Solanum lycopersicum: one gene and its partners. The protein of the gene in region 1 interacts with the protein of each later gene in a pairwise test. Links are inferred from orthologs where the notes say so. Each region holds a gene or a part of one and is shown in the gene's direction. Other genes may lie near its edges.

Evidence for each region.
Region 2: the proteins of LOB domain-containing protein 15 (region 1) and ethylene-responsive transcription factor 12 interact in binary tests that used the Arabidopsis thaliana proteins (3 or more experiments, as listed by UniProt). The link is inferred for Solanum lycopersicum from reciprocal best matches to the Arabidopsis thaliana genes LBD13 and ERF12.
Region 3: the proteins of LOB domain-containing protein 15 (region 1) and GSK3 kinase BIN2-like protein interact in binary tests that used the Arabidopsis thaliana proteins (3 or more experiments, as listed by UniProt). The link is inferred for Solanum lycopersicum from reciprocal best matches to the Arabidopsis thaliana genes LBD13 and BIN2.

Annotation. Positions count from the first base shown.
Region 1 is NC_090805.1:50,645,561-50,649,598, reverse strand, and holds LOB domain-containing protein 15, read left to right. Parts: upstream 1-1,412; 5' UTR 1,413-1,531; coding exon 1,532-1,545; intron 1,546-1,921; coding exon 1,922-2,195; intron 2,196-2,692; coding exon 2,693-3,103; 3' UTR 3,104-3,377; downstream 3,378-4,038.
Region 2 is NC_090801.1:58,883,627-58,886,468, reverse strand, and holds ethylene-responsive transcription factor 12, read left to right. Parts: upstream 1-1,285; 5' UTR 1,286-1,535; coding exon 1,536-2,000; 3' UTR 2,001-2,229; downstream 2,230-2,842.
Region 3 is NC_090801.1:57,796,334-57,798,821, forward strand, and holds the end of GSK3 kinase BIN2-like protein, read left to right. Parts: intron 1-1,298; coding exon 1,299-1,400; 3' UTR 1,401-1,898; downstream 1,899-2,488. UniProt on the Arabidopsis thaliana protein: Negative regulator in brassinosteroid signal transduction pathway important for plant growth. May be also involved in auxin signaling pathway. Phosphorylates and increases the degradation of BZR1 and BZR2/BES1 by the proteasome.

The DNA of each region.
Region 1 (4,038 bases):
TACCCTTATGCATTAATTAAACTCTACTTATGTAATTGGTGAAGGTTAATTATTGATGAGTAAATAATTGGTGTAAACAAGAGGGCGATTTTATAGGCTAAAAATACGGGTCAAACTAAACTTAGATCTATGCATTTTCCTTCCATTTAAAGCAAGCCATTCATTCAATCTCTTTTCCTAAAATAATTACTATATCTATTTTTATCCTCCCAATGCTTTTCCATGTTCCCACACCTTAATTTGTATAAATATCATATCATATTTTATAATAATGTTTTCTTTGAAATAGATTTTGTATGAGGAAAATTAAGCGACTATCATAAAAGTCTTTTAGAGTATATTATATAGCTATAATATTGATTATTTTTAATATGTGACTATAATTTTGTGAATTTTTGCTATTTGATTCTGATGTATAAATTCAGAATTTGTATAATTCGATTCCTAATCGTATAAAATCAGAATATGTATATATTTATTCTAGTTGTTTGTCTACGGTTTATAAAAAAAATCATAGTAAATAATCGTGTTTCTATATTGGCTAGTGAGATATACAAACAGACAAGTGAAATATACAAACCACAGCCTCCATATAAAGCAAATGGAACTATAGTTATGAAGCACAACTACTGAAACTATAGTATAAAACCTTAACATGTTTATTATATTTGTTATTTCTTAATATACTCCCATATATTATGTTAGATTATAAAATATATTTTTTTATAATTATATTTTGTTTCGTAGCTGAAAGTTATCCGAAATGATGTATTTACAAGTTGAATCATATATTGGCAACCATTTACTAGTATTGTTTTCCAATTTTTTCACACGGATAATTAAGATGAAAATGTTTTAAGTATAGAATTATTTCTAATTATGTAAATCTGATATTATATATATATATATATATAGTGTTATTGTCTTAGCTTTTAAGTGTTTGAAATAAGAATCCAAGACGACATGTAAATATTTTCAACGGGTAAACGAGTTTGGTTATTGACGGTGACACTAAATAGCAAGAAATTGGACTTTTCTTCGTTGCTTTCCCATTTATTTTTCCATCATTATTTATTTTGGAGGTGTGATTTTAAATTATTTTTTTATTTTTTAAAAGCTCGATTAATACATTAAATTAAAAATAAGAATATTTCAATCGCTTGATAAAATTTTTATACATTAATAAAATATATATCATTTAATAATAACTGATTTTGATTGTGTATATATTTTTTTATAGGGTACTATACAAAATTTCAACTATTTTTTTTTTTTAGTAAACATAAGTTTGGTAGTGATGAAAAGTCAATAGATGCAATTAGTCACACGTGAGCAAGCTTTGACTCAGCTGGCAATCAATAATATTTTTTTAGTTTCTTGTGAAAGTACATTTAATTATTTCTTCTAATTAATTAACCTTTGTCTTGCCTTTTTAAGAATCCCCTTTCTCATTTTCCCTCTCCCTTTGAAAACTCAATTATCTTCATCTTAATTTCAATTTATCTTCCATTAACCTCAAGTCATATCTAGAATGTCAAGAGAAAGGTACGTAACACTAATTAATTTACATCTTCAAATCATTATAATCTAATCGTTGTTGTTAAATTCCTTTTAAGAATTATAGATTAATTAGGTCAAATGCACAAAGGCGCGGAGCTAGGGTCTCAAGGAGTTCATTCGCCAAAAAAAATAATTATATCGTATAATTTTCTATTGTGTTCAATTACTACTTCATAACTTGATTTTCCTTATTGAAAATTCTTATTCGATCGCATGGGAGTTAGTTCATTAGCTTAGGTCAAAACCCTACATATTTAATGAGAATTTCAACAAATACATATTAGAACCAACAAAATGAAACTTCAAATTCTGAATCTGGTTCTGGTCGATTTTATATTTGACTTTTTGTTGTGATGAATAGGGAGAGATTAGATGAGATGGGAAAGAAGTTAAAGACAGAGATAGATATTTCACAGCTACAAATGCAACAACAAATGGGAAGAAGACACGTGTTGGGACCTGTTGGGGGAGGAACAACATTGAACAATGTTACACCTTGTGCTGCTTGTAAACTTTTAAGAAGAAGATGTGCTGAGGAATGCCCTTTTTCTCCATATTTTTCCCCACATGAACCTCACAAATTTGCTGCTGTTCATAAAGTATTTGGGGCAAGCAATGTCTCCAAATTGCTAATGGTATATATCTACAACTTGTATTTGAGGTTAACTTTTATGCATCAACAGTACTATACTATCAGATCGCTTGAATGATACTAATGTCTTGGGATAAATCGTGGCTAAAAGGGGTTGATCATATCCTTTCGCAGGAAAATCACACTATATATATGTATATATTATAGATGAAATCATCCTTCCATCATTGACTATGTTTCTATGATCAAAGACGGATCTAGGACTTGAAACTAATTAGCAATAAGTTATAACATCTTTTCTATTAAAAAATATATATTTGTTGACATCATATGTTTTAAATTTTAATATTTGTTGAAATTTTAGTGATGTATATAAATGTGTGAGGTATGTTCCAAGATCAAAATGTTTAGGTTATTTTGAACCCCCTCCATTTTTTCCCATGAACTATAATTGGCTAAAGTATGTTAATACTTATATATTTTTTTATAAATTAGAATGTAACGTTTATCTTGTTGTGACTTTCTTTTTTTTTTAATTAGGAGGTGCCAGTGGGACAAAGGGCAGATGCAGCAAATAGTTTGGTATATGAAGCAAATGTGAGGCTAAGAGATCCAGTGTATGGATGCATGGGTGCAATTTCAACTCTACAACAACAAATTCAAAATTTACAAGTTGAGCTTAATACAATTAGGGCTGAAATATTGAGATACAAATATAGAGAAGCTGCTAATAGTCTTATTGCTTCTATTTCCACCTCTGTGCCACCTGAGCTACCACAAGCTCCTCCTACTCCGCCACCACCACCACCACCACCCTCCGTGGTGGTGGTTTCGTCATCATCTTCTTCTGCATCATCAACTTCTTCTAATTTATACACACCGGCCTCGTCTAGTGTGGCAAACTTTAGTGCCATTACTAATAATAACATATCGTATTTTGATCAGCAATAGTCATATGTCACATAAAATGAAACAGATCAAACTATTGAAGGAAAGATATTTGGAGGATTTTCAGTTCACTTTTTTTTTTTAATTTTCAAACTTGTCATTGCCAAGAGGATTTTATTATATATACATACTATATTGTATCTCCAATTATGATAATTACAGCTAGCTAGAGAGATATTTGATGATGATTAATTGTCTTTTTAATTTTCATTGATTTTGTAATGCTCAATTTGTGCTTTTCAATTTGTATCTGGAAGAGATTTTTCTTTTATTTTTAGACATGCATGCATAGCCTTTTTTTTTAATTAAAAAATAAAATAACTTGAGGTAAATTATTAATTCTCATCTCGAATTCAAATTCTGATAGATGACGTCAAAAAATTTCTTTTACTAGTTCATGTATATTATATCGATACTTTATACCATATCGTGTAACGTTATATATTCTATTCTCTTTAAATTTTATTTACATGATTACACTTAATATGTTGTTCTTATTGTTATTAATGTAATTGTAATCTTAAAAAAAATAGATAATGTTCTACTATAACTAATAAAATTGCATTTTTTGAGTAAAAAAACTTTACCCTTAAAATATAATATAACTAATTAAAACCCCTCAAATTGTACCAGACTTAATTAGGTCTTCTCTATTCTTAGACTTAACAAATTAACTACTTTATTTGTTGTTGCTAATTTTAAATATGATTTTTGCAAATATCGAGAGATTCCTTAAGCCAACTGAAAATCATTTTTGATGTCAAGACAAATTAGTGACCATTAATAAACTATATAGGCTGCAAAATTAATTAGACCCCTATTACTATAGCTTATAACGTTAATAAGGTTTTTCATGTTGGAATCATCTTTTGAGTTAAGTGTCAAAAACACATTTAATTTTTTATTTTTTTTTGAGTTTCATACTTAAATTATTAAAA
Region 2 (2,842 bases), on another chromosome or scaffold:
GGAAATGAAAGATTAATTGAATCCACCATAATTAGAACAAACTTGCAAATTCTTCAAACGACTTCACTAGTGACTTAAAAACCAAAAATAAAATTAAAAAATATTTATTAATTTAAATTATCATATTTTTAATTAAAAGATTTATTTTGTAAATAAGAAAAGTTATATTTTATATAGACATAATACATAAACATGAATCTTAACTTGACTCGGTTGAAAACTATGACATTTAATTTTGGGTGTGCACAAGTAAACACTTAAATTTATATAAAATTAAGCAAATGAACACATTTGTTCTACATAATACTTTACATGGCAATTTATTGTCCTACATGACGTTCTAGATGTATTGTGCCATGTAAACATTTGTATCTACTTATTTTATTTTATACAAATTTAAATATCTATTTGTGCATATTCAACGTTGAAGGACATAAGTATTTACTAAAATCAAATTAAATAATTATGTTTATGTAATATGATTTTATATTATAAATCATAGTCTTAAATACAATATCTTTGTAAATTTTCCTTAAAAGTTGTCACCTGCCTTTGTGAAAAATCAGGAGTGTATATCTTATCAAAGAAATACTACTACTTCATCGAAGTTTGTAGCTTCTCATGGAAGCAATTTAGAAACAAGAGAGAAAGAAAATTTTCTCTTTTTAGGACCGACTTACCATTACCAAAAGTCTATATTTATCATTCCATCTATAGCATGACTATAGAATTTGTAAAATATAAGATATATAATTGTTTATTTGCAAAATAATTTATTGAAATCGCATATGTTTAACTATTACTTCACCTATTTTTAGTTTGATATGTCAAAACAATGGCGTATACCATGCTACCTAGTTTTTTTCTCTTTCGAAATAATACCCCTACTATATATGATTTTTCTTATTTATTTAAGTTTTGCTAAGTAAAATTAATTTTTATTCGCCCCTAAATTTGTAACTTACTACAACAATTAATGCTAATGATTTAACATATGTATTAGTATGAGTAAAGACCCTACTATCCTTCAAAATTCTTTTTATAGCTTTTTAGTATAATAGTGCAGAATATTTTTATAAATAAATATTTTTTGTATTATACATGTTATTTTTAATAGATCAAATCAAACGCATAAGAAAAAAATCTCTCTTTATATATAATTAATATAGACATTATTACTATATTTTATTTAACATTATTTTTATGTAACTTACTAACCGATTCTCCAAAAATAAGTATTAAAATACAGTACCATGAAATGATAAAAGTATTCGTTCATTTTTTAAGAGCCTGTTTATAATTTCGGAACATTTTCCTTCCGACCAAACACATGTTCACCTAAATATTTTGCCTATTTTAGGAGAGAGGTCGTGCCGTCCAACCGACGATTACGGGTGTCTGCGTGGGTCCCTTTTTTATTTTTACTACTGCTGCCCAAATATACTCTTTTTTAGCTCCCAAAACCCCACACAAACACAACACTCATACACTTTCTCTCTCTAAATCCCCCCCTCTCTCTCTCCTCCCCCATTTCCATGGCTTCCACTCGTGAGGGTCACTACAGAGGAGTGAGAAAGCGTCCCTGGGGCCGTTACGCCGCAGAGATTCGCGACCCGTGGAAGAAAACACGTGTCTGGTTAGGCACTTTCGACACTCCAGAAGAAGCGGCACTCGCTTACGACGGCGCCGCCCGTTCACTCCGCGGCGCTAAAGCAAAAACAAACTTCCCCCCTCCTCCGCCGCCGCCGCCGCAGCCTTCTTCCGCTCCTCTTACACTCGATCTCAACCTTCCATCTGATCACCGGTGGACTTCCCCCTCCGGACGTAGGCTCATGATTGGAGAGTTTCTACAAGTAGGTCCGCCGCCGGAACTTAACTTGCCGGTCACCGTCGCTGCGCCGGCGAAGGAAAACGATGTTGGAGCTGCAGCTATGTATTTTGGGATTGTGAGACGTGGGTTGCCTATTGACTTGAACGAACCGCCGCCGTTGTGGATGTGAGGAGGCGGCGGCGGATAATTAATGACTTAGTAAAATTACGTTTTTTGTTTTTTTTTTTTCATTTTTGTCATTCTCTCTATTTTCAAGCTTTTGGGAGAAAGGTAATTTCTATGAAGAAAAGTAGAAAAAAAAGAAGAAAATATATTAATGTTATTATTAGGAGGAAGCACATCATTATGTAAATACCCTTTTTATTTAAATATTAATCCAAATTCTCCATATTTTTGTACCACGCTCATCATAAAACTGAAGTACTTTGTCTGTACTTTTTAGTCTAATTTTTTTTTAAAAAAAACATTTTATACAGTAAATTAATGTATACGTCCAAAACGTACATTTGCGCAACAATTGTGTTCCTATATATATATTATTCAAATTTTTTTTGTGTGAATATAAATCGAGATGAATTTTCATAAATTATTAAATTTTGTAAATTATTTACTAACATTCACGATCCATTCTAGATTCGCACCTGTGCGATATGATTGCACGTGTGAAAATATACGTACATGTTTGACATATTAAATTAACTTTATTTGTTTGTTGTTCAATTGAGATGTGGTAGATTTTTGAGACATGATATTTAATTTCACCTTTTCAGGTGGCGCATGAAAGAGCATTACAATTAATTAGGCCAGTTATGTATAGAAAAAGGGTAAACGCAGAAAGTGACTTATTATTATTATTATTATAATAATAACTAACTTAGGTTGAAAAATCTTACATAGTATCAAAGGATTGTCCCTAAATAGTACAAATTTACTCAGCAAAAATAATTATTTTTGACCTAAATCTACTTTCAATATTAACTATAGCAGGCTGATAAGCATACATGCTTAGAT
Region 3 (2,488 bases), on another chromosome or scaffold:
ATGAATTATCTTTATACAGGGCCTCATGTTTAAAGTTGGTGTTTTGGAATGGCAAGCTTGATGAGGGTAATGCAATCTAGCATGTCATAAGTTTATGCTTCTTAGAGATATTGCCGGCCACTGGTGTTGATACGACACGATGACATACTCATTCTGGATTTGGCAAAAAATAATGGTTCCCTGACTAAGGAAGGCATAATTGAGAGTACAACGAAGATGGAGATTGAGACAGAAAACAGAAGTAGAAAAGGGAGAAGAAACAAAAAGCCAGAAACTCACAGGCATCCTTATGTCTGATGATTGATAAAAGGATCTGCAGCCATTCGTCGAACTCAAAGAAGAGGGGGTCCATTGGTCATCAGAGTATTTCTGTTTCTTTTTTTGTTAGTAGCTGGGGTGGATTAGGCTTCTAAGAAATGGACTGAACCAATGCTTAATTGACCAAGAATAAGTTGGGCTACTATAACGTTAAGGTTTATACAACATAACAATACCACTGGATTTAATGGATTAATGGTGGTCCTTCTGTATTGTTCTTTGAAACAAGCCTTTGAGGTTCTTGTGATTTTATTAGAAAGTTATGTTAGAGGTTGGGTGAAAATCATTCTAGCTAAGAAGTTCTGATGATTAAATTAGTGTCAATAATGAGAACAAGTGGACTAGTCTAGTGGTGAGAAACATCTCTGGTGGACTGTGTCAGTATATTTATTGGGGTGGATTGACTCTGAGGTGTTTGAGATTACACCTTGACTACAGGAATGCCCTTTTTTCCAATACCATGATGTCAGATAACAGGATCTAACTAAGTGAGGTGCGTATATTGTTAAAGAAGCTATGCACTGTCACTGAGTCTTGATGAAAGAAGGCCCTTTCATCCTAGTTCCATATCTACTGAAAAGAGGGCCAGGGAGAAGCCTGAAGAGTTGAACTCCCTCGAAAAATAGTATCTTTGTAAGTTGCTGGGGCCTGGTTGAAAGACGCGATAATATGTATCTGTAAAGGATAACCTCATTATTCAGTTATCTTCATTCTTATTGGTTACGAAGGAGATATTAGTCACAACAGCATTTTAGTTACAAGGACGCGGAAAATTGTTAAAGCATGCATTTTTACGAAAAGCACAACTTAACTATGCATATCTTTGGCAGGAATTGCCATCTTCAATTGTCCATTAGAATTTAGAAGCATGTCAAGGCCATTAATATTGAAAAACTGTATTGCTATGAAGTTACGCATTCTGTACTTGCCTTTCTTGACTTAACTCTATTGCTTATCCCCCTAATTTTTCCTGGTTTCAGTTATCTGGTGCCTCTCCGGACCTCGTAAACAGGTTGATACCAGACCATATAAAAAGACAGATGGGCCTGCATCTTTTTGCATCCCACGGCGACATGACGTGAAGTATATGTTTAGTGAAGTATACTAGTTTATGATCTATATATGAAGGGATCCAAGTGACACCCCTTCCAGAGCAGAGGAGTCCAGCATGACAGCGACAGTATATCCTGGTCGAAAAGGACAATGTAATGGGGCTGCAGTGCATTTTAGTTCTGTACTTTGTATTATCTTTTTTGTTCCACTCTTCAAAGTCTTCCCATCTTAGTAGCCAACTAGTGAAAAGGAAATATGTTTTTGTACATGTTTGTTAGTAGTAAATTGACCAGAAAGCTTCCGGGGACACGTTTGAATATGTATGGACAAGTTGCAAGGCTCCAAAAGGATTGCCAGGACTTGAAAGGGCAGTATTTTTTTTTCCCGTAAGTTTATATCTCACTTCAGTTTGTATTTAGCAGTCTACTTTGAAAAGAGTTGCGAGCAAATTTGTGTTACAGTTGCTCTATGTGATTATGATCAATCAAACGTATCTATTTTGTTGCATCTTGTCATTTAAACCTTAATTCTTGATGCTTTCTACTCTTCATTTCATGACAAACTTATAGTGATATTATTCTTTACTATTTATTGTTTTTTGACTGAGTGTGTCGAGTTTACAGTGGACAACTATTAGTAGATAAGAGGAAGTATCTTATTTTTCTATACAATATACCTACTTACAATATTATTATGAAATTAAAGAAAATAAGCTATAAATACAATAGTCAAATATCATAGTTAAGCACAAACGATATAAAAGGGTTTGTATGGGTCTGTATAGTCGTAAAAGAATCAAAAAATGATATTCGTGTGGTTCATTTTGTAAGGGTCAAACTAACCCCACAATAAACACCTATAGCGAGCACTAGAAAACTTATATGTAATGATTGTTGAGCAAGATCTACTAGATGCAACAAATTAGTTGAGCTTTAATGTAATGAGAAATAAATTATTGTTAAAACAATAAAGGATCATATTTGTCCTTGTACTCTTAGAAAAGAGTTATATTTACCCTTAGTTATACTTTTTTGATATGTTTGCTCTTACCATCTACTCTGGTCACATATTTGCCGGGAGAGTTAAGTATTATGCCACCACTTTTATTATCCTACGT